4 linked regions of the Caenorhabditis elegans genome follow. The protein of the gene in region 3 purifies or fractionates together with the protein of the main gene of each other region. This does not show direct contact. Each region holds a gene or a part of one and is shown on either strand. Other genes may lie near its edges. The genes, in order: tag-72, trm-1, metl-1 and R04E5.9.

Evidence for each region.
Region 1: the proteins of metl-1 (region 3) and tag-72 fractionate together in Caenorhabditis elegans (co-fractionation; one large-scale study listed by BioGRID). This does not show direct contact.
Region 2: the proteins of metl-1 (region 3) and trm-1 fractionate together in Caenorhabditis elegans (co-fractionation; one large-scale study listed by BioGRID). This does not show direct contact.
Region 4: the proteins of metl-1 (region 3) and R04E5.9 fractionate together in Caenorhabditis elegans (co-fractionation; one large-scale study listed by BioGRID). This does not show direct contact.

Annotation. Positions count from the first base shown.
Region 1 is NC_003279.8:10,157,764-10,164,937, reverse strand, and holds tag-72 (mRNA cap guanine-N(7) methyltransferase), read left to right. Parts: upstream 1-3,054; 5' UTR 3,055-3,061; coding exon 3,062-3,185; intron 3,186-3,290; coding exon 3,291-3,416; intron 3,417-3,463; coding exon 3,464-3,573; intron 3,574-3,640; coding exon 3,641-3,819; intron 3,820-3,902; coding exon 3,903-4,082; intron 4,083-4,415; coding exon 4,416-4,839; 3' UTR 4,840-4,956; downstream 4,957-7,174. Other genes in the region: fkh-10 (Fork-head domain-containing protein), read left to right, coding at 1-16, 602-730, 941-1,195; C25A1.1 (FAM192A/Fyv6 N-terminal domain-containing protein), read right to left, coding at 1,753-1,960, 2,006-2,261, 2,308-2,406, 2,453-2,549; F16C3.4 (uncharacterized protein), read right to left, coding at 4,979-5,047, 5,094-5,225, 5,275-5,324, 5,558-5,753, 5,803-5,879, 5,926-5,932; F16C3.3 (TPX2 domain-containing protein), read right to left, coding at 6,441-6,517, 6,735-6,821, 6,870-7,068. UniProt on the Caenorhabditis elegans protein: mRNA-capping methyltransferase that methylates the N7 position of the added guanosine to the 5'-cap structure of mRNAs. Binds RNA containing 5'-terminal GpppC.
Region 2 is NC_003283.11:14,181,602-14,189,012, forward strand, and holds trm-1 (tRNA (guanine(26)-N(2))-dimethyltransferase), read right to left. Parts: upstream 4,009-7,411; 5' UTR 3,930-4,008; intron 3,887-3,929; 5' UTR 3,869-3,886; coding exon 3,790-3,868; intron 3,738-3,789; coding exon 3,668-3,737; intron 3,621-3,667; coding exon 3,315-3,620; intron 3,267-3,314; coding exon 2,889-3,266; intron 2,423-2,888; coding exon 1,924-2,422; intron 1,874-1,923; coding exon 1,625-1,873; 3' UTR 1,523-1,624; downstream 1-1,522. Other genes in the region: cest-2.3 (Carboxylesterase type B domain-containing protein), read right to left, coding at 136-337, 602-887, 1,262-1,329; ints-2 (INTegrator complex Subunit homolog), read left to right, coding at 4,184-4,228, 4,277-4,357, 4,401-4,773, 5,035-5,201, 5,249-5,353, 5,412-6,067, 6,115-6,211, 6,647-6,840 and 2 more. UniProt on the Caenorhabditis elegans protein: Dimethylates a single guanine residue at position 26 of most tRNAs using S-adenosyl-L-methionine as donor of the methyl groups.
Region 3 is NC_003280.10:11,468,768-11,475,550, forward strand, and holds metl-1 (tRNA (guanine-N(7)-)-methyltransferase), read right to left. Parts: upstream 4,809-6,783; 5' UTR 4,796-4,808; coding exon 4,704-4,795; intron 4,653-4,703; coding exon 4,590-4,652; intron 4,541-4,589; coding exon 4,146-4,540; intron 3,713-4,145; coding exon 3,492-3,712; 3' UTR 3,368-3,491; downstream 1-3,367. Other genes in the region: cisd-1 (CDGSH iron-sulfur domain-containing protein 2 homologue), read right to left, coding at 1-198, 254-342, 738-825; slc-25A37 (Mitoferrin), read right to left, coding at 1,593-1,673, 2,135-2,251, 2,298-3,002, 3,191-3,244; ngat-1 (Beta-1,4-N-acetylgalactosaminyltransferase), read left to right, coding at 5,329-5,450, 5,508-5,690, 5,749-6,040, 6,090-6,499, 6,771-6,783. UniProt on the Caenorhabditis elegans protein: Catalyzes the formation of N(7)-methylguanine at position 46 (m7G46) in tRNA.
Region 4 is NC_003284.9:8,804,718-8,814,486, forward strand, and holds R04E5.9 (uncharacterized protein), read right to left. Parts: upstream 6,426-9,769; 5' UTR 6,277-6,425; coding exon 6,272-6,276; intron 6,216-6,271; coding exon 6,120-6,215; intron 6,072-6,119; coding exon 5,856-6,071; intron 2,454-5,855; coding exon 2,376-2,453; intron 2,324-2,375; coding exon 2,204-2,323; intron 2,156-2,203; coding exon 2,152-2,155; 3' UTR 1,941-2,151; downstream 1-1,940. Other genes in the region: R04E5.8 (JmjC domain-containing protein), read right to left, coding at 1-101, 280-428, 475-536, 585-638, 741-1,388; Metal transporter cnnm-2, read left to right, coding at 7,473-7,541, 7,590-7,660, 7,955-8,027, 8,071-8,186, 8,233-8,359, 8,907-9,012, 9,061-9,152, 9,205-9,326 and 1 more.

The sequences.
Region 1 (7,174 bases), on a different chromosome or scaffold from region 3:
AATGGTTCTAGCAGAGGTAAAATACAGTTTGGAAATAGGGAAAAATGTAGTAGCTCAGGAGAAGTTTCATGTTTTTGTAGCTGAATTAATTAGAAGATTCACTAGCCAAGAAAATTGTAGAAATCATAAATTTTATTCCGTGAATATGTGGAATTCCCAAATCAGCTCAAATTAAGTTCTCCTATGACGCCATTAAATAATTTGGAAATTTAGCTACAGTACTCGTACAGTACCCCAACAGTACCACAACAAGAACCTAATTAACCAAAAAGTATATTTATAACTCCAAAGACTACGAATCTATGAAAAAATATATTCATGATGATATTGGTGTGAATATTAAAAATATATGGAAAAGTTCGAATAAATAAATATTTGCAAAAGTTTTATGCAAAAAAGGACAACCAATGTATGGGCGGAGCTTTATTATGATTTTTTCCGCTTGGTAAAACCCTTTTTGATAAAACTTTCGAAATAAAAACAGAAACCGTTCATATCTTGGTTTTTTTGAGTTTTTGCAAATATAGATGCAATTATGATAATTTTTTTTTAATATAAAGAGGATGCTTGTCTTTAGATCGATAGAAATTCTAATTTTCAGGTATACGAGTGGATAATGAATGAATATCCGTACTTCAGAAGTCGTGGAGCTGGCTGGAGGAATTCAATCAGACACAATTTATCATTGAATGATTGTTTTGTAAAAGCCGGTAGAGCTGCAAATGGGAAGGTTTGTTTCAGTATTTTCTATAGGAAGTATACTACTGTTGATGTCGATTTTTGAAGACCAAGTATTTTCACGGCTTTCAGAGGTTAAGTAAAAATAAGGACACTCTGATTACTCATCAGTTATTATGTAGTCATCTAAATATGAGAATTTTCGCGCATGGGTCTCGCCAAGAACCTTTTCATCAGTTGTTTAAAAATTCAAATGTTTCAGGGTCATTACTGGGCAGTCCATCCTGCATGTGTCAAAGATTTCGAACGTGGAGACTTCAGACGTCGTCGTGCACAACGAAAAGTTCGCCGTCATATGGGGCTGCAGGTTGAGGACGGAGATTCATCAGATGAGGAAGGTTCACCAGGTTCTGATCCATCACCTCCCATCTTTCCAACAGCTTTATGGAATTTCAATTGTGCTCCGAGAGCTCCGATCAAATCGTTCACTATTGAAGCAATCCTGGAGCATCACTAGAAAGAATTCCACGTGGATCTCCTAAAACTTGAAGCTCAATTGTTAAATTAATTGTTTCTTCCGTTTCCTGTTACCCTCCAATTAACTATTCTCCCCCTGTCTCTCCAATTCCTACGGGCCCTTCTGTTCTCTTTCTCCCATGCAGCCAATTTCCAAATTTCCTGTTTTCTGAAGTGCAAGCATCTGCACACAGATTTTCCCTGTTCATTATTTCAATAATTTATCCACTAACATAACAACTTGACGGGAATAAACATTGAAAGTTAAAGGTTGTGAGAGGAAATTCAGGGGGTTCAATGCCGTATTTTTTACATTTCTACGCCAATGCGGCGAAGAAATGAGTAGGAAAACGCAGGATTTTCAGGTATTGTACAAAAAGAAGGGAGCGCAAAGCTTAGTGGGATTAGGCGCGGGAGAAAAATAAAAGTAATTAATAAAATTTGAATTTTAAAAAGAAAAATTGAACATGATGAAAGAGGTATTGGATGCATTCAGGAAAAGCGGTGAAGCTGAGGGATTCGGACAGTAAAATATATTCGGATAAAACAAGAATTAAATCATTCGCAGCCTCCTTGTGCCGCCGACTTCGATGTTTGAAGAAGTGACAGAGTTTCAGGCTCATCATCAGATGAGGCATCGCTTTCTGAATCACTCGATGGATCATATTCACACAAAGCCTGCAGTGCTCCAATTTGCTTGATCACAGGTTCAGGTTTTGAAACTTTTGAAGACACAACATCTTCCTGTTTTTTCTCTTCAGTGCTTCTAAAATATCATAATTAAATGAGGAAATTCGCTTTGAATACTTACGTTGACTTTCTCTTGATCGCAGTGCTCAAAAATGCGGCTTGCTTTGATTTCGGGGGTCCGAGAACTTTTGATGTCGACGGTTTAAGAATGAAACGAGACGAGGATGGCTGATTTGCGGCAAGATGTTGAGTGACGGCAAGCTCTTTAATAAGTTCTTGCTCTTCTCTTTTCATCCGCATTTTAACCACACGCTTTGTGGAATCTAGTTCCGACAGAAAAACGCTTTCATCCTCATCGATACCTCGGACCATATTCTCTGGAAAAAACTTCTTTAAAAATAATATTATTTTTATAAAACTCACTGAGCTTCTTAGCTTCGTCGATTTCCAATTGTTTTGCATCTTTATTATTTTTTAATTGCTCGAACAATGTCTTATTGCAGTACTCCGGTTCTGGAACCACTGAAAATCAATTGCGTTGCCTGTACAAAAAATAAAAAAATCTTACAAGTAGCGTCAGTCGGTTTTCTAATCTTTTCCCAAGCTTCTTGACGGGCTTTTTTCTCTTCATCGAGCTCCGAAGTGCTGACGAATCCACTAGACATTATTACAACTGAAAAAATTAACAGATGAAAAGGAAGGAAGAGTTAATAGAGAGGAGAAAGAGAACAAGAATACAACAGAATGTTTAAGAAAGAAAATGACGAATAAAAATATAGACGGGCACGCGGGAGAGCCGACCTAGACATTTGCAGCGTTCTCAATATCGATTGGACCATTACAGCGTTCAGTTGGAGCGATGTATTGCTCTTTGGATGTTAGCGCACATTCAAAAATCGATTGTCTTATAAAACAAAAAAAATTGTGCCAAGATTGACTAATAAATATCAGTTTTACACTGCAAAAAATATATTAAAATTTATAAATAATGGATTAGTCCACGAGGAGTACATACATGAAGGACTAAGTTTGACAGCGCGTTCGGCCACGGCCACTAGCGAAAAATGTTCGAATTCGAATATATTTTTTTGATATTTACTCAGCGCTGTAATTTTAATTTCCTTGTTAAAAAAGCACATAAAGTTATTATTTTCAAATCCAATTTTTCAGCAACAAAATGAGCTCATCAGAAGTGGCCAGTCACTACAACAAAGTTCTACAGGTTGGCATCGAAGGCAGGAAAGAAAGTCGTATTTTCTTTATGAGAAATATGAATAACTGGGTGAAGAGCCAACTTATCAGTAAGATATTAAATTTATAAAATAATTGTAAATATTCTACTGTTTGAAATAAAAAAGTTATTTTGCGAAAATTGAGTTAGAGAAAAAAACTGTTGTTTTTTCCAGATGATGCGAAACAGCGTGTTAACGATAACGGCGTTAATAATCCAAGAGTCTTAGATTTAGCATGTGGAAAAGGAGGAGATCTCAAAAAATGGGACATAGCTGGAGCAAAAGATGTTGTAATGGCAGGTATGAACAGCTGGAATCTTTTAAAAATATATAATGCTACGGTTCAGATGTCGCCGATGTTTCTATCCAACAAGCAGAAGAACGATATAAACAAATGTTCGGATATAAAAAGAACAACATTTTCACTGTTCAATTCATTGTCGCTGATTGCACAAAAGTGAGTTTTCATCCTGAATTTAGCAGTAAAAACTGAGAAATAGCAATAAAAAGCGCAAAAATTTCAGGAGAATCTGGAGGATCGTATTGAAAACAAAGATCCATTTGATTTGGTCAGCTGTCAGTTCGCCTTGCATTACTCGTTTGTAGATGAAGCTTCTGCCAGAATATTTCTAAAAAACGCCGTAGGAATGTTGAAACCCGGAGGAGTTTTTATCGGAACACTTCCAGATGCTGATAGAATTGTGTAAGCAAAATTTATACAAATTTTTCTTAAAAACCATCGTAATTATTTCGAATAGAAACGTTTATTTATCCACTATTTTTCAGTTGGTCGATGCGTAACGGAGAAAATGGTCAATTTGCAAACGAGGTGTGTAAAATCACATATGAAAACGTGGAAGAGTTGGCTGAAGGAAAAGTTCCACTATTCGGAGCCAAGTTCCATTTTTCACTCGATGAGCAAGTCAACTGTCCTGAGTTTCTGGCATATTTTCCACTTGTCAAACAGTAAGTTTTCTTCACTTATAATAATTTTGGCACATTGTCGGAATGTTTTTTGGAATTTTATATAAAAAAATAGAGAAATATCTGTACTTTCTGACGGTAACTTTACTTTTAATTAAAAAATAAAACATTTGCTCAAAAGCTACCACGAACGTCGAAATATGGCGGGTGAAAATGCCGATCGGCTATTTTTCTATATGAATTTCCAAAAAAAGCTTCGACACAACGATGAGATCAGAGAAAATTTTTTAAAAGTACAGAACGTCACAGGCCGCATATCTCAAAATCCTCTGATCAGAAGCTATATTAATGAATTCATATAATTCAAAATTTCAGCCTGCTCGAAGAGCTTGACATGGAGCTTCTTTTCGTGCATAATTTCGCTGAAGCAATCAACAAATGGTTGGAACCAGGACGCCGACTTCTCGAATCAATGACAGGTCTTGAAACGTATCCAAATGAGAAGCTCAGTGGAAAATCCGACGACGAGTACCTGGAGGCAAAAGCTAAACTCGACGCATTTCCAGAAGATGAGAGAATCAAGACGATGGGAACACTTTCAAAATCTGAATGGGAAGCTATCTGTATGTATTTGGTGTTTGGTTTCCGAAAGAAGAAGTCTGAAGCTGAGAAAACAGAAGAAGAACCAGCTACCACGAAGCCAGTTGCTGAATCAGAATCAGAGCAGAAAGAAGTTACTGAAAGCGAAGAGAAAGAAGATCAGGAAGATTGTGAGCATCAAGAAGCTCAGACAAATTAGGAATATTTCAGTTGATCTCAATATTTCAATTTTAATATTATTTTATCATTATGTTCTATCATTCATTTTGCTATTTATTGTTCATCTCAAAAGTTCATTAAAAAAATACATTGTCATATTCAAATTCTAGTTCAAAAGTTCAAGATTTGATATCGTCATCCTCTTCTGTTTGAGTAGTATCGAGCGGAGGAAGGTACTCCTTCTTCTTCTGAAAATGTTAACTTTTAAATATGCAACTATTCTCTCTTTCCTACCTTGGCAACTCTGTTCGAAGTGTCAAACGATTCCTTATCCGATTCATCAGTGCTTGAGGTCTTCGGCGGAGATCTTTCACGAACAACACGCATTTTCTTAGTCTCCGAATTGCATTGCTTCGTAAGGCAAAGCTACAACATGAAATTTAAATTATAATCTCAAAAACAGGGAATAACGAACCGGCGGTGCCAGAACTTTTGGTGGCTGCTTCAGAGATCGAGAACTTCCGCCTAAATGGGAAAAGAAATATATATAGTTTCAAGATTTTTCAGGGTCTCGCCACGAACAAAATTGTTTGAAATCAAGACCGCGCAAAAAGGTTTGCGCCTTTAAAATGTACAGTAACCCACTTCCCAAATGGAAACATCGAAGAAAGTTGGGAAGTGGGTTACTGTACTTTTTAACGGCACACGCCTTGTTCGTAGCGAGAGTTGAAAAATCCGAAACTGTCTAAATTCCTTACGTTTCTTCAAACTTGGATCTTTCTGAACATTTTCATCACTAGCAGTGTTCGTCTTGGTCCGAGTCTCTGGTTCGATTCCTTCATCTTCTCTTGTCGGCTGACAACCGACGACCTTTGGTTTGTTAAACTTTTTCGAGAAGGAGTTCGAGCGTTTCTTGGATTGCTTCTTGGATCTTGATTTTTTATCATATCGCGACTTAAAAACATATGAAATATATAAGCTATTGAAAATATCCTGAACCTACAGTAATTCTACTTTTTCCACACAAGAATAGAAGAGATGAAACGAATAAAGCAATGAAAAAGCTGAAGATGAAATTACCTGGAAACACCATTGTTATTCATAAAGCAATCTTTCCAAAACTTACTGAACATTTTCAATTCTTCAAATGTTTTGTGGAGCATAAATTGTAAAGTTGAGAAATGTTTCGAATTTTGAAAAAAATGTTATCTATGCATTGAATCTGTGATTCACGTTTTTGAAGAGGATAAAAAATAATGTGACAAATTTATTAATTGAATATAATTACTTAAAATCCTAGCGGAAATAGAAACTAAAAATATTATAGTTAGTCACGTTTTCTGAAAACCGTTCCTAAAGGAGCACGGATTTGTTCGGATTGGTTTCGCCACGGGAAAAAGTTTATTGTATCAATTTTGAAATGTTTTGTGTCTTTTATTATGGATTTCCGTGAGCAAATTTCGTGGTTTTTATCGATTTTTCTTGATTTCGTGGAGATTTTCAAAATTTTTAGAATAAAAATACAATTGACATTTCTACCATAAACTTTTTCGTGGCAAGACCCTATGAATCTGTGCGCCTTTAAGTACGCGCCTCAGAAAATTGCGACATGGAGATTATTTTAAAAAGTGGAAAAAAAAACTAAAAAGCATTAGAATTCATACTAATTAATCTTCGTTTTGCAAGTTCTCTCCGATGCCGAATCTCGTTCATCATGCCTGAAATTTAAAGTATGACATTTTTTATTAAAGTCAAATTATTTTGTGAAATATTATGCGATTGCCATGAGACTGGAATACGGTAATCGGTCTCGACACGACCGTTATTTTATGAAATGAGGCTATCTAAAAGAGTATGTGCCTTTACTTCTCGCATTTCTGAGGTCAGTAACATATAAAAATTTCCAATAGTTTTTATAATCAAAGAATTGCTTACTATGATCTAATTGACTCCGAGCCAATCGATTTTTGAAAAGCCTCTCGGCTCGATGAAATATCCAAGGAAAGAAGTCTTTTTCAAGCTCTGAAATTTAAAAAATTAATATTTTCCAATACAGTAATCCCATTGTACCTGCAGTCACTAAAGTCATTTTCTTATTCAATAAAACCATATCTCTTGTGTCTAATCCAATTGATTTTTTCGAGTTTCTCTCAAATATTCTCAAATTTTCCAGAGTATTTTTGGTCACTTCTTCGCAAGTCATTTGAGCCAATTTCTGTGCTTCTCGAGCATTCGCTTCTTGTTCTTTCCATGTTTCTAATTCATTATTCTGAAATTAATTGTTATTTTAACTTTAAAAGTTAAAACTGAACATCGTTCAGTGCGCCCAAAAAAAACCTAGTAAATTAAATTAAAGAAGTTAAAAATCCCAGCCG
Region 2 (7,411 bases), on a different chromosome or scaffold from region 3:
ACGCGCCAGCCATTGATTTTTGAAGCGCGTGACGAGACCAATAAGTGGCAAGTGGCAGGACTATTTCGAAAAAATGCGCTCTCCTTTGAAGTCATATAAGTGTACAAAAATACACTGTACTTGAACTACACGTACCATACATTGCCACATTCGTATCCCCGGTTTCTCCATTAAATACTCCAAATCCAAAAACTCCGAGGCGGTAATTGAATGTCACAACTACAATATTTCTGTCCTGACCCACAAAATTGTTTATAAAAATTTCAGGTTTAAATGCGGAACCCGATTCGCAAACAAGTCGTCCACCATGTACCACAATCATTACGGAGCAGTTTTTCTGGAATATTGAAAAAAAAATTGAGAGAGAAGTTTTGCGTTTGTCCACTAAAATAGACGGTACCGTTCTCACGGTGCATCAAATGTTTTCTAATCGTAACCGCTGAAAATATATATGCGCCTTGAGAAGTACAGTAACCCCTTTTTCCTCGTTATTACTAGAACCGTATAGTGGTTACTGTACTATTAAAGGGACACACGCCTTCTGGCGTAGTTCGTGGCGAGAGCATCATGTGAAAAATTGCAAAGACTGTATAATACTGACATTTTGCAAGCAATACTGGTTTGTGAACACATTTGCGTATAGACAATCCTCTGAAATTTCTCCAACAAATCCATTTTTGAAAGTTTTCCTCCAATAACTCATACACGCAGGCTTATAATCCTTTGTCTCTAGAACTCCTTCCCATGATTTCAGAAGACGTGGTTTCCGGAATCGAAGTTCTCCAATTGGAGGTTCAACGTATGGTATGCCCAAAAATACGGTAGCAGTTTGATTTCCAAACGGCGAATAAGTAGCATTCAAGATTTTCCCTTCGATTGTTCCAGTTCTGAACAAAACAAATCAAGAGTTTTAGTCACACTGTTGCAATATATTTCGATTCTCAATGCGAAAGTACGGTATCCGGTCTTGCAGCGACGAATGAAACATTTCCAACTAAACAAACACCAAGACTTGCGCCTTTAAAAGGTACAATATTTTCAATTTGCAGTTTTCTTCGTTATTTCTTTTATTCTCATACTTTTTTCAGCGTTCCAGTTCTGCCTTCAAATAGATAAACGGAAAAAGGAGAATACCATGCAAATACCGTACTCTCTAAAGGCGCACACCAGTTTGTACAGACTTTCTTCAAAAATATATCATTCGTGGCGAGACCCGGCCCTGTATTTTTGCTTTAAAATCGGAAAAACTGAACAAACTCACGATAACTGAATTCTTGTAGAAATAGATAAATGTATCAGAACTGCGAAGTATAAATATTGTAAAATCATTCTCTGATGATCGATTAAACAGAGCCAACCGCTCTCATTTCTGGGAAATATGTTATGAAAACGATAAGAGATGGCACAGTGATAAGATAAATCAATTCTCTTTGGCTGATGAATTACTAATGTGGGAATCCCTTTGGAATCTAATGTTAATCGATTTTTCCTCAATCTGAAAATAAGTAGAAGTGCGCTAAATAAGAAGAGGATATATTTATCCAAACTGCAACAACAAAAAACACAACAATATAACTTGAAAAATAAAATACGCTCATAAAAAAACAATTTTAAAAATTAAAAATTATTCCTTGTGCTCGGTCAATTGAAATCCTGCCTTCGTCGAGTTCACTGATCCTTTTGCTTTCTGGCGAGGGCCCCAATTCTTCCCTTTATTGCATTGGAACCGTACAAGGTTCTCTTTCTTGGCCTGTTCGATGGCTCCTGGGTGAAGAGTGAAGTTGACTGTGTTGGTGATGGGTTGTCCGAGAATGTGATATCCTGCTGATTCTTTGGCCAGACGCTTCTCGCGATCCACACTTGTGTCTTTAGCCTGGAAAAAACATTTATTTGTGAATCGTATACTGTTTTTATGAGACTTACAACTTGTCTATAAATATCCCATAGCAAGTGCATCGGAGCATTTGTTTTGATTGCACGGGGATTACAGTGAGATCCAGAAACTTTGAAACCGGCATTTAAAATCGCAGATCTCACACTTTGAGATTTTGGAACGGAAACTTTCACAACATTCGCCATTTGGTTGTGCTCATAATATAAAACATCATCCAGTTCTTCATTGACCATCGTAAGAACACCTTGAAGACGTCCGTGAGTTCCAAGTCTTTCAGCTTCAGGAGTAGATTTCAGACGTTCCAGAAGGGAAGTGACGAACGGTTTGCTGTGAATTGGAGCAAGATAAATTGGACCAATTTGGTGGAGTGGAAGTAAGCAATGGATGCATCGATTGCCTGGACCAGAGATTGAATGACGGACTGTTGGAATTGAATATTTGCTTTGTTGATTTCCTTCTCCTCGTTTAAGCAGTACTAATGGCTCCATTGAATGACATCCAGAGCATACAAGCACAGTTCCGACTTTCCTAAAAATATAATTTAATGTTAACTAATTAAAGGAGAACTAATGGATTTACGGTCTTGATTTTGAACCAATGTCGGTTCAAAAATTCGGGAAAATGAGCTGGTTTTAATTAAAACCTGTAGTTTTGCCAACTTTTCCTTTCGCAGTGGTTGTCAATTAACCTTTACTTGATTATTATCATCTATTGCATAATTTCATCGTTAATCTCGTTACTCTATAAATTTATGCACTTTTTAAGTCGATAGGTATCAAATAATGATATTGGTTACCTATCGGCTTTAAATATCCATTAATTAATAAAATAATGTGAGATATAGTAAAAGTTAATTTCCAACAGCTTTGAAACAGAAAAATTGACAAAATTGGAGATTTTAGCTAAAAATAGTTGTTTTTTTCACAATTTTGAAAATTTTCTTCATTAAATTTAAATCTAGCTATTTTGAAACTTAAATTTTCTGTCAACTCACGTTCCACTCTGCTTCGCTTGAAAAGCTCCTGTGTGTACCCTGACAAAAACTCGAACGTAAAAATCAACGGAAATCGACACCAATGGCTCAATATATCTTGTATAACGATTGGCTGCAGAATCAATTGCTCGAAGTAAAATCCGAAGTCCAACTTCATGACAACACTTCATTCTAGTGGTAACTGCATCGTATTTGTTGTAGCATGCTTCTGGAGTGTTTCCGCATAAAACAGCCATGTCAGTGCACGTAACCATCAGAATTCCACGATCAGCGACACATTGGACTGCCGAGTCTAGAAATGTGGAAGCAGTTCCATATGGATCCAGGTCAACAGCATGGAATCGTTTATCAATACCGCGATGTTCCATCATTGTCATACTGAAATTAATTTTAGATTAAAGTTCGAATCAAGAAAAACTAATTTACACTGCATCTCCGAAATGTGCTTCAACTATATCCTCGACTCCATTCAATTTCACATTTTCTTGAATTGAAGCAACTGCGTTATCGGAGAAATCATTTGCCATAATGAATCCCACATTGGGAACTTCTTTCGAAAAACGCAATGCTCGCAGTCCCGAAGCAGAAAGCGCATCGAGAATTCGGATTTTGCCATCTTCATTGATAGCCAATTTATTTTTCTTTTTCGGAGGTTCTTCTTCTGTTTTCAATTGCTTCTGTTCCTCTGCCCATTTTTGATGATCAGCAGAAAATTGACGAAGAACTGTTACTCTGAAAGATAATTTCCTTAAAATACTGAGATTCAGACACAAACTCACGTCAAATCGCGATTAAACTCCTGAACTGGATTATAGAAAACTGGTCCATGGAAACCTACTTTTGCCTGTCCTAAAATAAAATGTTTAATTTGTTTTTAATTCTATTTGAACTCAAAACAAACCTTCCTGAATAACTGTCACTTCTTCTTTATCTTCGCTTTTTATTGCCGAATCTCCAGATGAATTGACATTCTCGGTCATTTTATACCGCGAAATTTGCTAAAAACTGAGATTTTTTTAAGATTAAATGTGCAGTGCTTGCCTTTCTACTTTTTATTTGCAAAATTCGGGAAAAAATACTGCGCGAAGGAAGAATAAAAAACGTTTTTGTCCTTGATTAAATTAAAGCGAATACGAATTAGAGAACTCCGAGAGGACAACACGAGAAAAGTTGTGATTGGAGCGCACTTGCGTTTCTTCCCTTTTCGCAAAAAACATTTTTCTGCACACATTTTTAGACGTTTCTTTCGTCAGAAAACCATTTTAATTGAGGCGGAATACACAAATTTCAGTGTCATGGAGGTAGAAAAAGCAGAAAAATGCTTGACTCCTCGAATAAATGTAAGCTACTCCTGAAATTCGCTGAAATTAAAATTATTTAACTTTCAGAATTTTTGGGAAAGAAAGAAAAATTACTTCGAGATTGCTGCTGTTCAATCAAGTGTTGGGAAAGTTAATCCTGATTTGCCGGTAGGAGAATATTACAATACATTCATAATTTTATATTTTTCAGGATGCACTCCTGGCTCCGTTGATCACAGTTTTGGATCCATGTACTATTCATTCCTCAATTCACGCAAAAGTCGATTGGAATCTAGTAGCATCACGACTAAAACGACTCAATATTTTGAGTAGGCAAACTCGCGGAGTTGCATCTCTAAATAGGCCATCGGGATCGCAAAACTTAGATGGGGCATCAGATATTGAAGGATCATCGGATGGAGGTTCATCTCCAGCGTTTCATCAAAGAAAACGAGGAAATAGCCGAGGAATAGAAGGAGCCGGAGAACCAATGGAAGTAGAAATGACTGAAGAAATGATGTTGAAAAAAGATAAAGACACATTTATCGATGAAATCGTGGATTTAGTTAGGGATATTCAAAAACGTATGTAACTACGTAGGATTCGAATTTCACAAATTAGATATATCTGCTGCATAGGTGGAAATGAACTGAATTGCATATAAAGAATACAATAAGCCTGAAAAAACTCGTGGCACTGAATGTTCCAATTGGGAAATTTGTTTCCGGCAATTCGGCAAAATTAAATACCTAGCTGTAATAGGTAATCTTGAAGAATTGCCGCTCACCCATAGTTCCAAGGAAAATGCGAAATGATTATTTGAATGAAATCCAAATAACTTCCAGACAACGACGCATCAATGTCTTCACAACCAACATGGATCGATCGATTATCAGTGGAAAAGATATCAAATCAAATATTGATGCTTCAGAATTATCTTCCATCGCTACTCACAGTCGAAGAAATTATAAATGCACTTCTCTTTGAACACGGACCAGATGTCATTGAAAATGTTGGTTCATTTTCTCGCGTTGTCATGAAAAATTCAAAATATTTCAGCTTATAATCGAAACGCCTGAAAATTTGGTCACAATTGTCAATATTCTGACTAACAATCCAACACCAGGAAATCGTACAAGATATAGAAATTTGGTTATAGGAAAAGTAAGCTTTCACATTAAATTAAAAAAACTATTTCAAGTTTTAAAGTAGATATTTTCAGATCGTCGAACTATATCCATACTTTGCACGCCGAATAATCGAAAAATATTCCGAAAAACGATCGGATTGTGTTTTTGCATGCAGATTAGCTGTTGATCATTTGAATGATAGACAGTTTTTAGAATTCATGGAACCACTTTTGACAGATAAAGAAACCATAATATACAAAATGGTAATTCGAAGTTCCAATCGACAAGTTCTTCCACTAATAATTGCACGTCTTCTCAATATGGCAGATACTGTTATTTCGCCACGTCCCGAATCCACATCATTTTCTGAAATGGGAACTGCTCCATGGTGCACTCGTCTTTCATATTGTCTCGTGGAACTTATGAACTCTGCATTGGAACCTTGGACTGAACTAGAAATTATTACTGTCACTAGATTTTTGTTTAGAACTGATGCAAATCCATCATCCTCAATATTACACTCTGCTGATTCAATATCTGGTATGGATGAAGCCATGGATTTGAGTTTTCGTGAAGAAGCTCACTGTTCACAAGATTCTGTTGTTCCTGATTCGGATCCTGAATCAACACAATCGGCTCAAAGACCAATACCGGTTTCCCAAAGGACTGCTGTAGAGCCCAGTCCATTCGGAGATGCTCATGAATGTTTTGTACTGTCTGCGCTGCTCGCCGTCCCGTTTTTCACACAGTAATCTAGAAAAGATGTTAGTTTTTAATTAATTAAAATTTATCCAGATATCCGCCTAATCAAACGGGAGCAGTTCAACCACCAGATCGAGCTGTTGAAAATTGGCTTGATGTGTCAAGAAGGAGAGTTCTGGCAGGGGAAAAGGTATCGTTCGGCTACAGCTCTACAAGATCTTGCTCTAAATATTCAATTATGGAGGAGATTATGTCGAATTAAAAAAAATTAGAAAAAGAGTCGAAAAACGAATATTTATATACATAAAAATCGGAAAAAATGTTTAAAAAGTTAACATAGAAAAAACATTTTCAAAAACCTATTATTTTAATATGAAAAGACATATTTTAACGCTATTTTCAGATTAATCGAAATTTTTTAGAGGTGCAGTAGGGTCAAAACAAATATTTTGCTCTAAATTATAGAAAATTAAACATTCTAAATTATTTTAACAATTATATTAGGTAATTAACCTGTTCCCTGTCTTTTAAATCATATGATTTTTCAAAATTACCTTTTATGAAAAATCAGAAGACACCCTTTTAAAAAACTTAATTATAAATAAAAATTTTCCGATTTTTTCAGGTCACATCAGCATTTGGATCGCATCTGATATATGTTCACTCGTGTATAATGTCTTCTCGAATCGAAGAGCTTTCGGAGTTTGCAAGTTATGGAATGAAACAAAAAGTTGAGCTTGTTAATCGTCAGAATCACGTTCTTGTACTGAAAAACACTTTCACATCACGTTGCATGACAGAAATGGAGGTTGCTAAGCGGTAAAACCTAGAGTTTGGAATTTACAGCACAATTTCAACTTTCAGAAGTATTTGCCAACTTGTCACAAAATGCTCTAATGGCGAGAGCTCGTACGCTCTTCGAACAATTCATGCACTTCAAGCTGCGGGGGTTTATAAGACATTCCAGATAAATATTAGGTCATGGTTGGAAGAACAATTGGATAATATAACACTGCCTGCTTCGCAACTTTTAGCAGAAGTTGTTGATGGATTTGCACATAGTTCTGCTCATTCCAAAGGAAAAGGTCTGAGTGAGGAATTTATTAAGGTTAGAATAAGATTTTGATTTTTACAAAAAAAATTACTGAATTTCAGAACACCTTCACTGGCGATGTATTCGATTCTCGTACGATTCCGAAACGGCTTTTCGTCCTATTTTACATTTGCTCGTACAGGGAAGCAGCTCAACGTCATGATGCGTCTCTTCGAAATTCGGTAATTAAATTTGAAATTGGAGTAGCGCAATTTTGGTCATTTCCCTAATACACTCAAAATGATTTTACAAAGGTTGAGTTGGTTCAAAATTTTGAAAATACCCATTTTGGTAAAT
Region 3 (6,783 bases):
GCCAACATTGTCGCCAGTCTCCTTGTTGTGCTTTCCATGTGATCCGTCACAGTATGGCCACTTCTCGCTCTTCCAGCATCTGCAGAATGCCTTCTTCTCTCCAATATCCTCAATATCGACGGTGTCGACGATCTTATTCGAGTCGAGCTGGATCTTGTAGTTGCAGCGAGCCGAACGCTGTCCGAACTTGTAACCAACCTGAAATTAATTAGTGAAATTGAAGAGGCTACATCAGGGGAAGGCTTGAACTTACAAGGTATCCAATAAGAGCTCCTCCCGCGAGAACGGCGGCAGTCGTGGCGACACAGCGACCAGAGACTTGAGTTGGGCAAGGCATGGTACCTGGAAAATTTAATTTAACAAAAAAAATTTAAGGAATAAGATTCAAGCGAAAAAAAATATATACGATTTATCATAAGGTAGATGCAAAATTTGGCGATTTTCGCATAAAAGTACAGTATCGGGTCTCGAAACGACCGCTTTGCTTTATTGGGAAAGAGTATGCGTCTTTAAGGAGTACTGTATCAATTTTCATAACTTTTTCAGAAGTGCTATCTTTTAAAATTTATGAGAGAATTCGCGAGTTGACAACTACAGTACTCTTTAAAGGCGCACACTCTTTCTATTGGAAAACCAGTCGCTTTGAGACCAGATACGTAACCTTTGACCAAAAAATCGGAAAATTGTGAATCTGTGTAATAAGAGGCAGTTCAATCAACAAATTATGCCAAAATTACCAAGCTCTGCAACAGAACAATGCTGTGGCGTTGTCCAACAACAGTGATCTTGAATGAGAGATAAAGCACAAAATCCAGCGATGGTCATTTTTCGAAGAAAATTGTAAAATATGTAGAAATAAATTTAAAAACCTTTTTTCGTAATCTATCGATTGATCTTTTTGATTAAAAAATTTGGACGTGAGAAGAAGAAAAATAACTTTTTTTCAAAGGTCAAATCGAAAAGAAAATCGATTTTTGTGAATTTGATATATTTTACAATTAGAATTTTTCGCTCATTTTCCGCCAAAAATCGAAAAATCTTCAGCCTCGTGGACATTATAAGATCACTAACAATTGTGAAAGAGAAAGAAAGTGACGTTGAAGTCGAGGCGGTCGCCTGAACATCAGCGCCAATCGCAGTAAAAACGAGAAAATGAGAGATAAGAGAGAAATAGACACAAGATACAAATTTCCGTGTGAAACTACGGAGCACAAAGAACATATAAATTCAGTGGAAACACTAATTTTTTATGTATTTATTTGAATTTTTGTCTCGAATAATAAAGGGATGAGAGAGGGAGGGATGGGATACAATTATTATGAACACTTTTCCACTAGAAATGCTCGCATAGGTTGATAGTCAAAGAAATCATTTGGATTCGATAAAACTTTCAGAACACAACAAAAAGAATCTAGAAGGCATCTGCACGGGTTTGACACGTGTTTTGTAAAAAAAAGAAACATAGAAAACTGAGAGTAATATGAAAAAAAAACAACAAAAAGAAATGAGAACTATTGAACCTAACCTATATGAGGAGAAACCTTGGAAAAGAGGAAAAATTGGGGGAAAAATTGGAGAAAAGATCAAAATTATCAACTCGAATGACCTCCTTCGAAAGACAACATGAATTTGAAAAGCTCGTAAACGGACCAGGAGAGAGCAGTTGCAGGAACCTGGAATAAAAATTATTAAACTGAGGTTTTTCTATTGCCCGGATACTGTACCAGGTCTCGAAGCGGCCGATTTTCTTAAATTTAACAGAGTGTGCGCCTTTAAGGATTACTAAAGTTGTTCTTCGATTTTTTGTTATTGTGATTTTCTGATATTTCGAAATTTTTCTTGATTATTGGAATAATATCATAAAAATTTGGCAACTAAATTTTTGTGTTTTTTTTTTCTGAACATTTTTTTTTCCAGAAAATCTAAATTTTATGTTTTCCGATTTTTACAAAAAAATAAAAAATCGGAAATTCTAGATTTTCTCTGGAAAAATCTAAATTTTTTTCGCTGTAACCGTTAGTTGGGAATTACAGTAATTCTTAAAGGTGCAGACCCTTTGCATTCAAAACAATCGATCGCTTCGAGACCGGTTACCGTATTTTTTGGCACGAAAATCAAAAATCTTAGACATTACCTGGAATATGACCCTAGCTTGTAATCCACACGAGAATCCGGATAGTCCACGTTGAGAATAAATTGTCCGTACGGCGTCAGAAATTCCACGATAACGATACCTAGCCTGTAATTCATTCTTTTCAATTATAGCAAAAAAATGCGAAGAATTCAAAAAAACTCACCTGCAAGAAAATTCGCCTATTTGCTGGATCAGCTTCTGCAGCTTGTTGCGTATTCAAAACGGTTTTCACACAATCCATTGGAGTCGTTAAAGCAGCTGCCAATCCGCCGGCAAGTCCTCCCGCAATTAAATGTGATTTCGGATCGTATTTATGCTCCGGATTCAGGACGTGCTGCCAGAATTCGTAACTCATAAAGTGAATTGCTTGGAATGGAACATTCATTGCCAGCTGTGTCGTGTATGATCTATAGAAAGCCGCCACACCTTCCCGATTATAAACACATCGAGCACATTCCAACGATGATCCGTATGGAGAGAAAGCCATTTGCATTCTTTGCTTCACTACTTCTGCTGGATTCATGATAGCGTCATGGATAAGTGTTGCAACAACTCCAGAAGCTCCATATGCTAACGTATTGCTGTGTCCCGCGGAGTTTCCCGTCAAATATCCCTTCATTTTCTCGTAAACTGTGAAGTATAGAGCGTGAGCTGGCATTGAGCCTGCAGCAACTGCATTAACTCCACGTAGCGGTCGAAGCCATCCTTCTCGTTTAACAATGCTCATCAGTGAATGTACAGGAGTTGGACATTTCGTTTCAGGGCACGGACAAAGTGATTGCATTCTCGTTTTGACCGAATCGAATGGAAACATGACACAATGCTCAACGGCTCCGGCCAGGGCTCCAGCTGTCAAGTGCACCTGAATCTTAGATTGTGATAGAATGGGAAACACTAATTGAAAATTAATTTAATAAAAAAATTTTAATTAATAAAAATGCGCCGAATTCGTAATGGAACTTCTCAAAAAAAAACACGTATTTTTTGAAGAAAACGGTTAATTTTTGCCGAAATCTTCAATTTTGTCAATCTCTTTTAATTAATTAAAATTCTTACCGGGACGCTGTGTGTTGGAAGTGATTCGTACTCATCTTCGCCACCGCCACCCATTTTGCCCAGTACTGAGTATCTGCTGAAAATGCGATTTAAAAATTTAATAATTGATTAAATTTAATAGATATATAAGTAGAGTTTGAAAACTCGATGGAAATAAGTTCAAAAAATCAGACTATTAGAAGAATTGGATTTCATTTAACAGACAAAAACACAAAATCAACAAAATAGTTAAATAACAACCTCGGAGGAGGAGGGAGAGTCTCGTGAAAAATTGATGAATGTTGGAAGTAGGCAGAGGGGATTATAAGGCCGGGTTCGGAAGTCGCCTGAAGATTGCTGGCCACTTTCCTCCGTCATTTCGAGTCACTTTTTGTCCTTCTTCAGTACTTTCAAAGAGCATTTCCACAATCGGATCTTTTTTCATTTCTTCTTCAGTCAGCCGTTCGAAAAGTGGATGCTCGCTGAGATGCTTGACCATCCATTCGTGTAGATCCTTGACATCAGTGATTGTGTAGATAATACCTGAAAAAATAAAAGTTATAACAAAGATCAATAGGCACAGCGGGAAAATGCACTTGTAGGTGCGCAGAGCTACAGAGAAAGGAACAGGTTTCTACTTAGCTATAGTTCTCACGTGGCACACATGGAACGGATTGTTAATTTTATTGGGCAGGGAATTGAAGATAGAAGCCTACGTGCAAATTTGAAACAATTAAAGCTTCAGAGATTGGAAAGTTTTCTGAGATCTATCGAAAGTCAAGAAAAATGTTCGGTGATGAAATGTCTCGCAGCAGCATACGGCCACGCGGTTAGATGATAAATATTGTTTGATGGCGAGAATTAGGGACACAAAGACACATTTTCAACCGTTGATACGCTATTCTTATCATTGAAACTATTCCTATTCCATTATCTGCACTTGTGATCACTGGTACGATCAAGGTCACTCTCATACCTCCTTCACGAAGCACATAAGCGTATTCGGAGAGCAGTGTTGGAGTGATGATCCGCCATTTGTGCTTCTTATTCTTGAAATGTGGATCTGGGAAAAGGAAGAACATCTTGGAAAGTTGTCCTTTGTGGAAATAATTTGGCATGTATTTCATGGCATTTGATCGGAGAACGGCTACATTTCTGTAGTGACCAGCTTCAGCGTGATGCTTTCGAAGTGCTTGGATTTTTTCGTTTACGTAATCCGACACTTTCACACGAATTTCCATACCGATCATCAGATTATCAGGATATTTAGGTGACAATCTCATCAAAAGACCTCCATAACCACATCCGATGTCTGCAAAATCCACTTGACGTCCTTTTGTGTAATCGCCGTAATATTTGGTCCAATCCATACTAAAAATTGTCAAAATTTAACAAAAGGTAACACTTTAATTTTACTCACTGGTTTGGAGTCAGTGGATATTCAATGTCATGATCAGAATGAGGATTCGAGTGAGCTCGCTGCCTGAAATCCTTTTTTATTAAATATTAAACTTTAGTTTTCTCAGAAACTAACCGATAATGCTTCTTTTGAGGCAACCCTGGAACTGTCTCGCAAGTAGGTTTGTGATCCAATTCCATTTCTGTCAGCGCAGGAGTTATGTCCATGTTTTTGCTGAAAATCACGAGTAAATTATGTAAATATTTACGTAAATTATACATTGAGGTAGTTGAAAAATGCGCAATTTAATTTTAAAAAGTTAAATTTTAATAATTTAAAAGTTATATTTACTGAAAGTTAACTTTAAAGTTATAAAAGGAAAAAAATTAAAATAAAAAAATGAGAAGATCGTGAAGTGCGCCAAGCGTAACTCGATTTGCGCCAGCAATCAATTTTCGTGCGCAACTTTCGTGTTGGGGAGTTCTCGGCGTCTCCTAGGTTTCGCATTGTCTCTCGCCTTCTTCACAACAATTCCCGTTGCTTCACTTACAACAAAAAAGACCGGACAACCACTGCAGTTGTTCTGAATATACTTCTCACAGCCACGCATTCGTTCTTTTTCTCTTATTCTGTCACATAACTTTCCCCTCAACACCTATTTACTCTATTTACAGCCGGATTTCTTTTCTGATCCCCTCAAAAAGTAATTTCCAATTTTCAGAATTCAAATGCATTGATTTATCGGTAAAAGCTACTTAAAATGAGGACCTCACACTGCATAATACGTAGTTTTTCTCCGAAACGACTTATCATTTTCGTTGCCGCCTCCACACTAATCTATGTAATGCTACTCAGAAATTCTACATTAAATGATGAAAGAAGGTTTGTTTTTGATATATTTTTATAAATGTGAGATACTAAATATTAAATAGTCTCCAGGATAGCAGCGACTGAAGAGCAAGTTCGATCTGTCAATGTCAATGTACAGCAATCAAAAAACAGCGGAGTCGCTGAAAGAACACACGATATAAAGGATCCTGTTGAATTGGAAATTGCTCGACAGACGCTAACATTTTTAAATATGGAAGAAGCCGTCACAAAACCAAAGCCACCGGTTAAAATGTAAGTTTTTTCAGTGATTATTGTGAATCTAAACTAAACGTTTTTTTTATTTTTTCAGCGCCGAAGAGGACGGATCTTGTCCAATAGTTGAGAAAATACCAGATCTTCAAGGCGCTCTTCCACAAGCCACACTTTTGATTCAAAATCTTCAAGAAGGAGAAGTACACGCAATTCATCCAGAACTTGGCCCAGGTGGCTCATGGAAACCGGATGATTGTCAGGCTCGCGATAAAATCGCAGTGATAATTCCATATCGAGAAAGGCAAACTCACTTGACTCGATTGATCGACTTTTTGATTCCAATACTTCAACGACAGCGGCTAGATTTTCGATTCATTGTTACTGAACAAGTAAGAATTTTTTTAAAGCAATGCTTAAATAAAAATATTAAATTTTCAGTATGGAAACGACTTGTTCAACAAAGGCCGAATTATGAATGCTGCATTTATCTTCGCAGAAAGCCTTGGAGTCGATTGTGTAGTCTTCCACGACGTCGACATGTTCCCACAAGACGATCGGAACCCGTATTCGTGCCCACCTGGTCCACGTCATCTTGGAGCTTTTGTCAGTAATCTGGGATATCAATTGTGGTACAAGGAGATTGTCGGAGGCGTTTTAGCAGTATCAATGGCAGATTATCGTGCAGTTAATGGATATTCAAATCAATTCTGGGCGTGGGGAGGTGAAGACGATGATATGGGACAGAGAATACTTTCATTAAATTACACAATTGAACGACCAAATCCTGAAACAGGGAGATATTCTATGTTGAAGCATGTGAAGAGGAAACGGACTGCGCCGAAGTTGATGTAGGTTTTTATCAGGCATTTTCTAGTGTCAAAATATAAAAAATCACTTGATTTAAATTTATCTTAAAACTATTAATTTCAGCTAAAACATTGGAGAAAGTACTAAAAAATTGTTTTGTAATTTTTGAGGTTTTTATCCATTGTTTCAGCTGGAATAAATGTTATTTTCTGATAAATCAAGTGATTTCTATATTTTGACACTAATTTAGGTCATTTCATAGAATTTTTTAAATAAAGTAGGTATGAATCCGAAAAAATTTCAAACTTTCAGCTACAAGCTTCTC
Region 4 (9,769 bases), on a different chromosome or scaffold from region 3:
TGGACGGAAAACTGGCGATGGTGGATTGCTTCGAACTTCATTATCAATGATCCAGTAACGAGGGGCTGGTGGCCGATCCATATTATGTGGGATGGAGAACTCTGAAATAAATAATTTCATAAAATGATATAAAGATAGAAGTTTTGATACATAGAAGATGAGTCTTTTTTTAAATAAAACTATTCTGGGTATCATACTTAACAAAATAAACAATTTTGCTGCTCAATTAGTCAGAGAAAATTGCAGCCTAGTCAAAGGAACATCAAGTTATTAACTCACGCTTTGTGCCGTTTGCATCTTCTCCATTCATGTAGAAACGGTATCCGGATAGCAGATGAGACCGAACTTCAAAATCATCAAATCGGAAGGTTTTTGCTGCATTTGCAACTACTCGCAAAACTTGCTTGTAATCTTCTCGTTCGAGATGCCTGCAAAATCCATATATCCTTTCTACTCCTTCATTGTAAAACCTACAGCTTTTTCAGCTCTGTGCTTGCAAGACGCTCGGCATATTTTCCGTACTCGCGACTTCCCCACTGAAAAATTGTAAGTTTGTAACTAGAATTCATAACCGTTTAACTTACGTCGTCGTTATTTCTTCCAGGTCCCTGACTTATGGAGCGGCGACCGTAAGGAGCCTGAAAAAATATTTTGTTAAACCAGTAAACTGGAAAAATTGTTTATATAATGTTCTCAAATTTCAGTTACGAAAACTCAATGATATCAAAAAGAGAACCTACCGGACGATGAACCATTGGACGACGTGCTCTCAATGCTCTCCGATCGTGACTGTTTAGACGTGGTGGTGGTGGTGGAATAGGCGACGGAGGAGTCCTCGGCGGATTCCGTGGCTCCGGAGACGGAGGAGTTCTCGGTGGTCTGCGTTGCGGTGATGGTGGAGTCATCGGTGGTCTCCGTGGTGGAGGGCTTCTTGGCGGGGGTGTCCGCGGAACTCTTGGTGGCGGTGGGGGTGGCGGCGACGATCCCCCAGCTCTTGATTTCCTGGGTGGTGGAGGAGGCGGTGGACTTGCTTCATGATCACCGTGTTGTGGTGCCGGCACTTGGTGGCCTTCCTGACCAGGAACAGGGTATCCAGGATATGCATAGGGGTGTGGATGCTGAAGATGATGTGGATGTGCAGGCGGCGGCTGGTGAGGATGTTGATATGGATATGGAGGCGGATAACCCCCGTACGTGTGAGCAATGGAAGCCGCATGAGCCATGTAGTTGTGATTATAATGCATGGCCTGGAAGTTTGATGGCGGTACCAAGTTAGCTATGTTTTCGGGGTAGGGATGATGATGATTCTCTGGATAATGATATTGATTGTTTCTTGGCGGGTTGAAATATCCACCGGACGATGAGCCCGGTCTGTCGTGTCCGTGCATTTTCACCTGAAATGAACTTTATTTATGATATGTACATATTTTAAAGCATTCAGAGAGTTTGAGAAAATTAAAAAAGGAGTATAAATGGTACACTCGAAAATTGAGCAAGAAATACATTCAGTATTTGGAACAATGAAGTATACACGTAGGTATCAGTAAGAGATGAGAAGAGTTGACGGGAGAGAAAGACAAATTTTGCTGTCGATAAAAAAGGCGGAGCAAAGCAATGCGTTGCCATGAGATACCCACTGTGAGCGCACGCATCGTGGCCATTGATCCGTGAAAAGGGAGAAGAACGAGAGTTCTGACCGAGTCACGCCGCGTGCAGCGACGACGAGCCCTTCTCATCTCTCTATTCATCTTACACACGGATCACGTTGGCCCCGCCGCACTCACCAGCTCACCAAAACCGGCAGTCTGAAAAGGAGCGAACAGAGAGGGGAGGCGCAGACAGGAAAATAAAAGAGTGTGCGTGTGAGCGGCGATCGAGTAGAGAAAATGAGTAGAAGAAAAACAAGATGGGCGCGAGTCGGTCGCATTAGAGGAGGGGGGGGGGGGGGCGACGGCGGCAACATCGACGGCACAGGGCCTCGTGTTGGCGCAGCACGGCGTCGAAGACGTGGTGTGCATTCAAGGAAATGAGCGTGGGCACAGGGTATATATGCTGTTTTTGTTTGTGTGTGTGTGTGTGTGTGTGTGCAATGAAAAAGACTATGCGTAGAGGGCGGACCAGTCGTGTTTCACGCCTCACATCATCTCGAAGTTACCTGAAAATCGAGGGAACATTCTAAAAATAGAAGGCTTAAGAAGCAAACCAAACACTGCGTCGTTCGTTTGGAAGGATTTTGTTTTTGGTGAACGACTTTCTTGCGGTATCAGTTGGAGCAAGAACTTTTTCCTGAGCGAAAAGGATTTGATCAAGAATGTTCGACGGCCTGAAAGGGGATTATTGTTATAATTTAGCATGATAAAAATTTGGCATCTCACGTAGGCTTTGCAGGCGCAGGAGGTGGAGTGGGAACTTTATCTGCACTTGGGACCTCATCGACCACAATGACATCATCGCTGAAATAATTAAATGTTATGACATGTTTGGGGTAAGCATGATTTTGGCTTTTAGAATAAAGATTCACAAAAAAATCGGTGCTTCCCTCGACAATTATTTTTCTGTAGCAAGTATTGTAATTGTGCTTTAATGATTAAAATTGTGTAGATAAGAGAAGACTGACGATACATAGCTCTCAAAAACGGTAAGACGTAAAAGCCGAAAATTCGTGAATTTCTTTTTCCATCAAAGAAAGGAACCCGGCCTTCATTCCGAGATGACAAACTTTTTGGTGGCAAAGGTTCTTTGGGGGCAAAGTATCCAAGGAGACAAAGGATCCAGTAGACAAACTGGGGTGTATCTTGGGGGGCATATCTTTGGTGACAACCTTTTTTTCAACTAGATTTTTATATGTATTTTTCAACTAATTTTTGTTCAAATTTTTCTGGAATAAGTTTTTTAATGCAATTTTCAATCGATTATCGGTTATAATTCCCTCACAATTGAATGTTTGAACGATGGTCTTTTGGGAAAAGCTGTAAAACGTCCAACTAACTTGGAATATCGTGAGGCTCTTCCTGATGGTCTGATCCTTCAGCTCCGAAGGATCACATGGGTACCTTCTGATGTTCTGATCCTTCAGATAAGAAGGATCGTAAGGGTACCTCCTGATGGTCAATTTTTTCAAATTTTTTTTCAAATTTTGTCAAAAATCCATATGATCCGTCGAAGCTGAAGGATCAGAACATCAGGCAGAGCCTCATGTTCTTTTGGAGCTGAAGGATCAGAACATCAGGAAGAGCCTCATGATCCTTTGGATCTGAAGGATCAGACCATCAGGAGGTACCCTTACGATCCTTCTTATCTGAAGGATCAGATCATCAGAAGGTACCCATGTGATCCTTCGGATCGGAAGGATCAGAACATCAGGAAGAGCCTCGTGATCCTTTGGAGCTGAAGTATCAGACCATCAGGAGGTACCCTTACGATCCTTCTTATCTGAAGGATCAGGCCATCAGGAAGAGCCTCACGATATTCCAAGTTAGTTGGACGTTTTACAGCTTTTCCCAAAAGACCATCGTTCATACATTCAATTGTGAGGGAATTATAACCGATAATCGATTGAAAATTGCATTAAAAAACTTATTCCAGAAAAATTTGAACAAAAATTAGTTGAAAAATACATATAAAAATCTAGTTGAAAAAAAGGTTGTCACCAAAGATATGCCCCCCAAGACACACCCCAGTTTGTCTACTGGATCCTTTGTCTCCTTGGATACTTTGCCCCCAAAGAACCTTTGCCACCAAAAAGTTTGTCATCTCGGAATGAAGGCCAAGGAACCCCGTATTCCCTGTTTTCTGATGCACTTTGTGAATACGATCTGATCATAACATTTTTTTGAAAAAAGTTGTTTAGTTAATTGAATTGGAACTTTATCAATCAGATTGAGCTTGACATTCAGACCAGGGAAGGACAGCTAATGTTTTGGCTTATTCCAAACATTGCATTTATCAGCAAGGTTTTCTGTTATTCTAATAAATTCTATATGAGAATTAAAGAAGAATTCTTGTGCAACATTCATCAAGTAACAACTTTTAAAAATTTACGTTTTTTTTTTCAAAATTCAGGATCTGATATTCAGACCTCGAATTTTCCTAAACCCGGAAGTGATGTAATATATAATTTCAGAGCGCTTGCCACGTCACATTGAATTATAGGCTCACGAAAAGAAAAACGTCACGAAATATCGGTGTTTGAGATTGATGGATACCATTCATCATTTGCGTGCTCCCAATTTTCTGTGCGCTAAAGCTCACGTCATTTCATTTCAGGCGATTGCCTACGAATGTTAAATAAATGGTTGTGTTCCAACTCTACTATCTTCATGAATTTGTAATGAGACAGGGACTGGAGTTGTGCTGCGAAAAACAATCGCCCGCTATAAACTGAAACTGCGTATAGGTGTAAACAATTTTTTATCATCGTTTGGCTATTAACAGTCCGCAAATATTAACAATTAATTTAAATAAGCTCAAAAAGAGAGAGAATAAAAGAGAGAGAAAATTTCTGGGTTTTTTCTCAACAAGCTCAAAGTAATACTACAAACTAAAATATTGAAACAGATATCTTGAACCGTTATTCCTTCTTTGAGCTTTTTTTTCTCAATAAACCTCAAAGAAGTTTTCTATTCGTCAGTTAAATATATTTTTCCAGGCCACCTTTTAATGTTGAAAAGGATGTATCTGCAGAAAACCTATAAGTTCGAGAGTTATGAAAAATGCAACATTGTTCACAGAAAGTCATCATACTCCGAATCACAGAAATAGAAAAATTAGTAGGCGATCAGAATATGTGAACGCTAAGCTATGATTTTATTAGTCATATTCAAAATTAAAAAATACTGCGTAATTTTAAGCTATATTTAAACTCTTGTGGCGCTTCTTCTGACAGCAGAATTTTAAATGCTTACAGATTAACATGATTATGTAGACATAAAAATTTCTGTAGTAATTTTATTTTCTGTATTTTGAGTGATTGTAAAAATTTGAAAACAAAAAATACATGTGACAGCAATCGAAAATAGATTCGTGCTGCTTTCCTTTTTCTCGTGAAATCAGCCGTCACGATGTAGTAATTTTTGAGTGAAACTTCGATGAAGAATATAATTGAAGTCAATTGCAGAATATATGTATGTTTCGTAGGATTTCAGTTTTCTTTTTGACAAAAAGTTAAATTGTGCAGGAAGTTGTATCTTTGCTGCATTGCTAAGCTAAACGTTTTTCTTTTGAATTGGAATTAACTTTCGATAAACAGTACGAGCCCCTCCACATATAATTTTTCGGAAAACTGTTTTCTTCGATACATTTCCAGTAGTTATGGAAAGGTTTCTGCTTCTCGTTTACCAGAAGATAAAATTAACTTCTGTTAAACAAGCATAGTTTTTTAGAAGCAGGACATTGGGTGATAGTAGAATGACGACCGATTCAGAAGTCGAAGTGTCGGTAAATTCAAGTTTCAACTAGATTGCGTCACTGTTCAAATAGTGCAATGCCTTGCACGGTATGAGCATCGCCAGAAAAATGCGACTGACTACCAGAACCACAGTGCAGCAAGCTTGAACATAATGTCTTTATGTATTAGCCCTCAACAATTTTTCGAGTAGGAAATGACCGAACTACAAGCGTGTTACTGCCCTTCGAAAAGCTGATATCTGATCACCGTACCCTAACGTTGGACGACACTGCTCATATGCGATTGGAAGAAAACCAGTGAAAAATTGATTCCGATATGATTTCGGGAGCATGCGACGCATTTGGCTTTGGAGTTCAATAATTCAAGTTTTTAATGTCACATTTCTATTATCTCTAGCATTACTGATTTTTTTTTTGAGAAACTACTTTATAAATTCTCAAAAACTTACTTTTGGCGAATATGAAGCTTTTGTTCCTTTTCTCGCCCGTATCGCTTGACTCTTCCAATACTTTCCCCTTTGTCTAACGATTTTGATGTGGTTTTCCGTCGTCGTTTAGTTCCTTTCCTTCGCTTTGTTGCTCCTGTCTTTGACTTTCGAGTCTTCCTTTTCGTTTTCCTGCCTTGTTTTCTCACGATCTTTGATTTTCTCTGCCGAGCAGCAATTCTGAATAAAAAAAAGTAAAAAAAGAGCTAACTTTCCTGGTGTTCTTACTTTGGAAGTTCTGGCAGATCTCCATCTGGTTCATCGTCGCCCAGCACATGCGCATCTTCCTCCTCGAAAATCGGTTCTTCTTTTTTGATGAACTCTCTGAAAGAAATAAGAAATGTTAATTTGAAAATTTAAACATTAGAGGAAAAACCTACTTCATACTCTCGGCGTCTCCACTACTCGAGCCAAAAATCGATGCAGGGTACGCACATACACACACGCACCGCAGGAACACAGAAAATAGTTGGAAGCGACCGCGTTGCGTCCCTCTCCCTGCGCGTCGCGTGTTCAGACACAACGAAGACACACTCTCTTTTTCACACACTCTCTCGCCAATGCCCTATAAACCCTCGCTTTCTGCCACACACTCACATTTACAAAAAAACAGAGAGGACGACGGGACGCGCGCGCACGTGAGATAAGGCGGACAGAAAAAGGAAAAATTGAGAATGGCGAGCTGGCGATGAAAGCAAGATGTTGACGTGAGGGTTGATGAATTTTTGATACGAAAACAATAATGATCGGGATGAAGTAGGGGACTGGCATTTTTTGTCCCGAGAAGATGTATTCTGGGCACTTTTCATTAAATTTTTCTTCCTTAAACGAACATGACAAACGAATATTGATGAGAAAACTTCTAGAGCATTATTTAAATTACTTTTTCAGCGTAAAAGAAAAAAATTGCAATTCCCGCGTTCATAGGACAACAAACCTTCAGCGTAGACACGTCTACTGCCCAAAAATGTCATCAAGAAAATAAGGGATATCAAAAATGATGATAGAACTGGAAGATCGAAATAGTCTAAAAAATGAAAGTTATTCGCTGTTCGTCATGCCAAATGAACATGAAATGTTGTGACAAAATTACAAAAAAATATAAGGCTGTATTTTTTTTAATATCCCGAAATTTTATTTCAGTGGAAGTTATTGGATTTGCTTTGAATAAGTAGTCACATCATTAATGAACGTTCAACTAAAATAAAAAAACACCAATACTCATAGATTATGCTTTAAAAAAAAGGAGAAACCAAAAAGTTACTTTCCTATCCCAAAACAAAAGATATCTCCTATGAACCGGCAAAAAGCATTACTGGAGAAAAAACGAATCATATTTTAAACAAAAATTTCTGACTGGATGCAAAATTGATAAAACACTTCGAAACCTGTCTTTAGCCTGTCACATGCAAATTTTGATTCTAGACACCCATAAACTGAAAGAGCCCCAAAACAAGCATTCATGTCACATAGACATGAACCACCTAGATTGTTATCAGTGCCCCCTACTGATACGCACTTTCTTCATTTTCACCACTCGTTTATTCATTATCGCCACCACACTATACCACGTCTAATTTGATGATCATTAAAGTTTTTCTACGTTTACTTTTGCTCTGTGCACACATTGTATGCATAGACGGAAAACTGGTGAGAAATTTCGTAAAGGAAAACAAAAAAACATTGATGGAAATTCAGGAAATACGGCCAGTGGTATCAGGAGTTCGGATTGAAAGCGATGTAGACGCGTCAGGATTTTTAGGATATGGGTAAGAAATGAGGAACCTTCTAATACACAGTACAACTTGCACTAAAGTAATTACAAGTATTTCATACGGAATGCCATCTTTTTTATTGATTGAAAGGACTACATTGTTCAATTAAATTCAATTGCATGTTTTGACATAAACGTGAAGCTTGTATATTGTCATAATGGCATTTCATCTGGGTGTTTACATTACTTTAGAATAAAGCTTCATTAGAGAAAATTAGATAATGCACTAAATACAATGGGATAAAAAATACCAGACGAGGGTGTACGACAAAATGTAACAAAATTTCAGCGATGCTGGAGAGTTATTGGTGGAGGCAAACACTGAAGTGGATCTTGTGATTTTTGGTCATGGACTAGAAAATGTATTTATCAGCCTATACCAACTTTTCCACATTCTGATTTCAGGTTGAAATGGTGACATTTACTGATTCTGTCTGCGTGACATCCGAGTTTAATGTATCAGAAAGCACCTTCTACATTCATAAAGATATGAAAATAGTCTTTAAATATGCTTTCGTAGCGTAAGGCAATTATTTTGAACTCGTTAATGCTAGTTGTAAATTACAGGTGGCCCCAGCCATGGAGAATTTGTCTAAAATCAGAGTGTCATGGACTAATACAAATCGATGACGATAGAACCTGGATTCAAGCTGTCCAGAGTACTCATGAAACTTTCATGCCTGTTTGGGCTCAGGTAAACAACCATGAGATGGTTATTAGCATTTTTCCTTAAAATGCCAAATTTCAATTATAGATCAGTGTTGCAAATGTTTTAACGTCTACAATGTTGGTATATAAATATATTGAACACAATTTAAATAAAAAACAAAGCAAATTATTTTTTTCCCGACGACTGGTACTTGTGTATTATACCCCCGCCATTAAAAAAATAATTTTTTAACTTATAAATTAAAAACCTGTGAAATTCTTTTGTATTTTTATGCTTAGGAAAACACCATTCCTAAGGTTTACGAAGAAAATGGGCATCACGTTTAATTTTTACGGATAAATTAATTGGAAATTTGATTAATTTTTAAAATGGCGGGGGTATAATACACAAGTACCCGACGACTTCTAAAAAATTGATAAAAACAGAGCTTTCAGTGCTTTTTGATTAGAAATCACTTTTACCAATATTTTTGAAAATGTTTTGGCCACCCCATAAGCCGTAGTCCACCTTCAAATGCTTTCGAATTAAAAAATTGTAAAACTCTTACCTTCGTTAAACTAAAATATTTCAGTGCGCAATTTTATGCCTACTGTTCTCCATATCAGCACTGTGTTCCGGATTGACATTGGGACTAATGGCTTTGACACCGCAAGAACTTAGTATCTTGATGAAATCAGGTACTGTTTTATTATTTATCAAAGACCAAATTTTATGTGAATTTGCAGGATCACAAAGAGAGAAAAAGCATGCGGCAGCAATTTACCCAATTAGATGTCATGGTAATCGGTTACTGTGCACTGTTATTATTATGAATGTTGTGAGTTTTGTTAGATTTAACGTCAACTTATTTTTTTTATTCAAAATTTAAGATTGTCAACACTGGAATTACACTTCTTTTCGATGATTTGGCAGAAGGTCTGATAGCTTTTGTAGCTTCCACAGTTGGCATTGTTGTTTTTGGAGAAATTCTACCGCAGAGCATATGTGTGAAGTTAGATTAATCCAACATCTTTTTAAACATGATTCCACTGATTTTAATAGTATAATTTATAAAAAAACATTTAAAGTTGTTCAATGTACCGGGAAAAGGTTTTCAAACTTATCCCTATATCGATTTTAATCAACTTACCTGCGGGAAACTAATTTTCATTCTATTCTGCAGATTTTGGTCGCCTCGCAAAGATTTGTTAAGTTTTGTACATTCCCAGCAGATAGAAAATTACTAGTTTTCCTAATTCAGTTACCTACCAATTTGAAAATTGTGCTAAAAAAATCTCAAATCTAAAATCCAAGAACCCTTACTGTCCCGTTTGATGGAAAATTTGCAAAATTTTAGGTATGGATTGGCAGTGGGTGCTAACACAATTTTCATCACCAAGTTCTTCATGTTTCTCTTATTCCCAATAACGTGGCCACTTGGAAAAGTAAAAATTC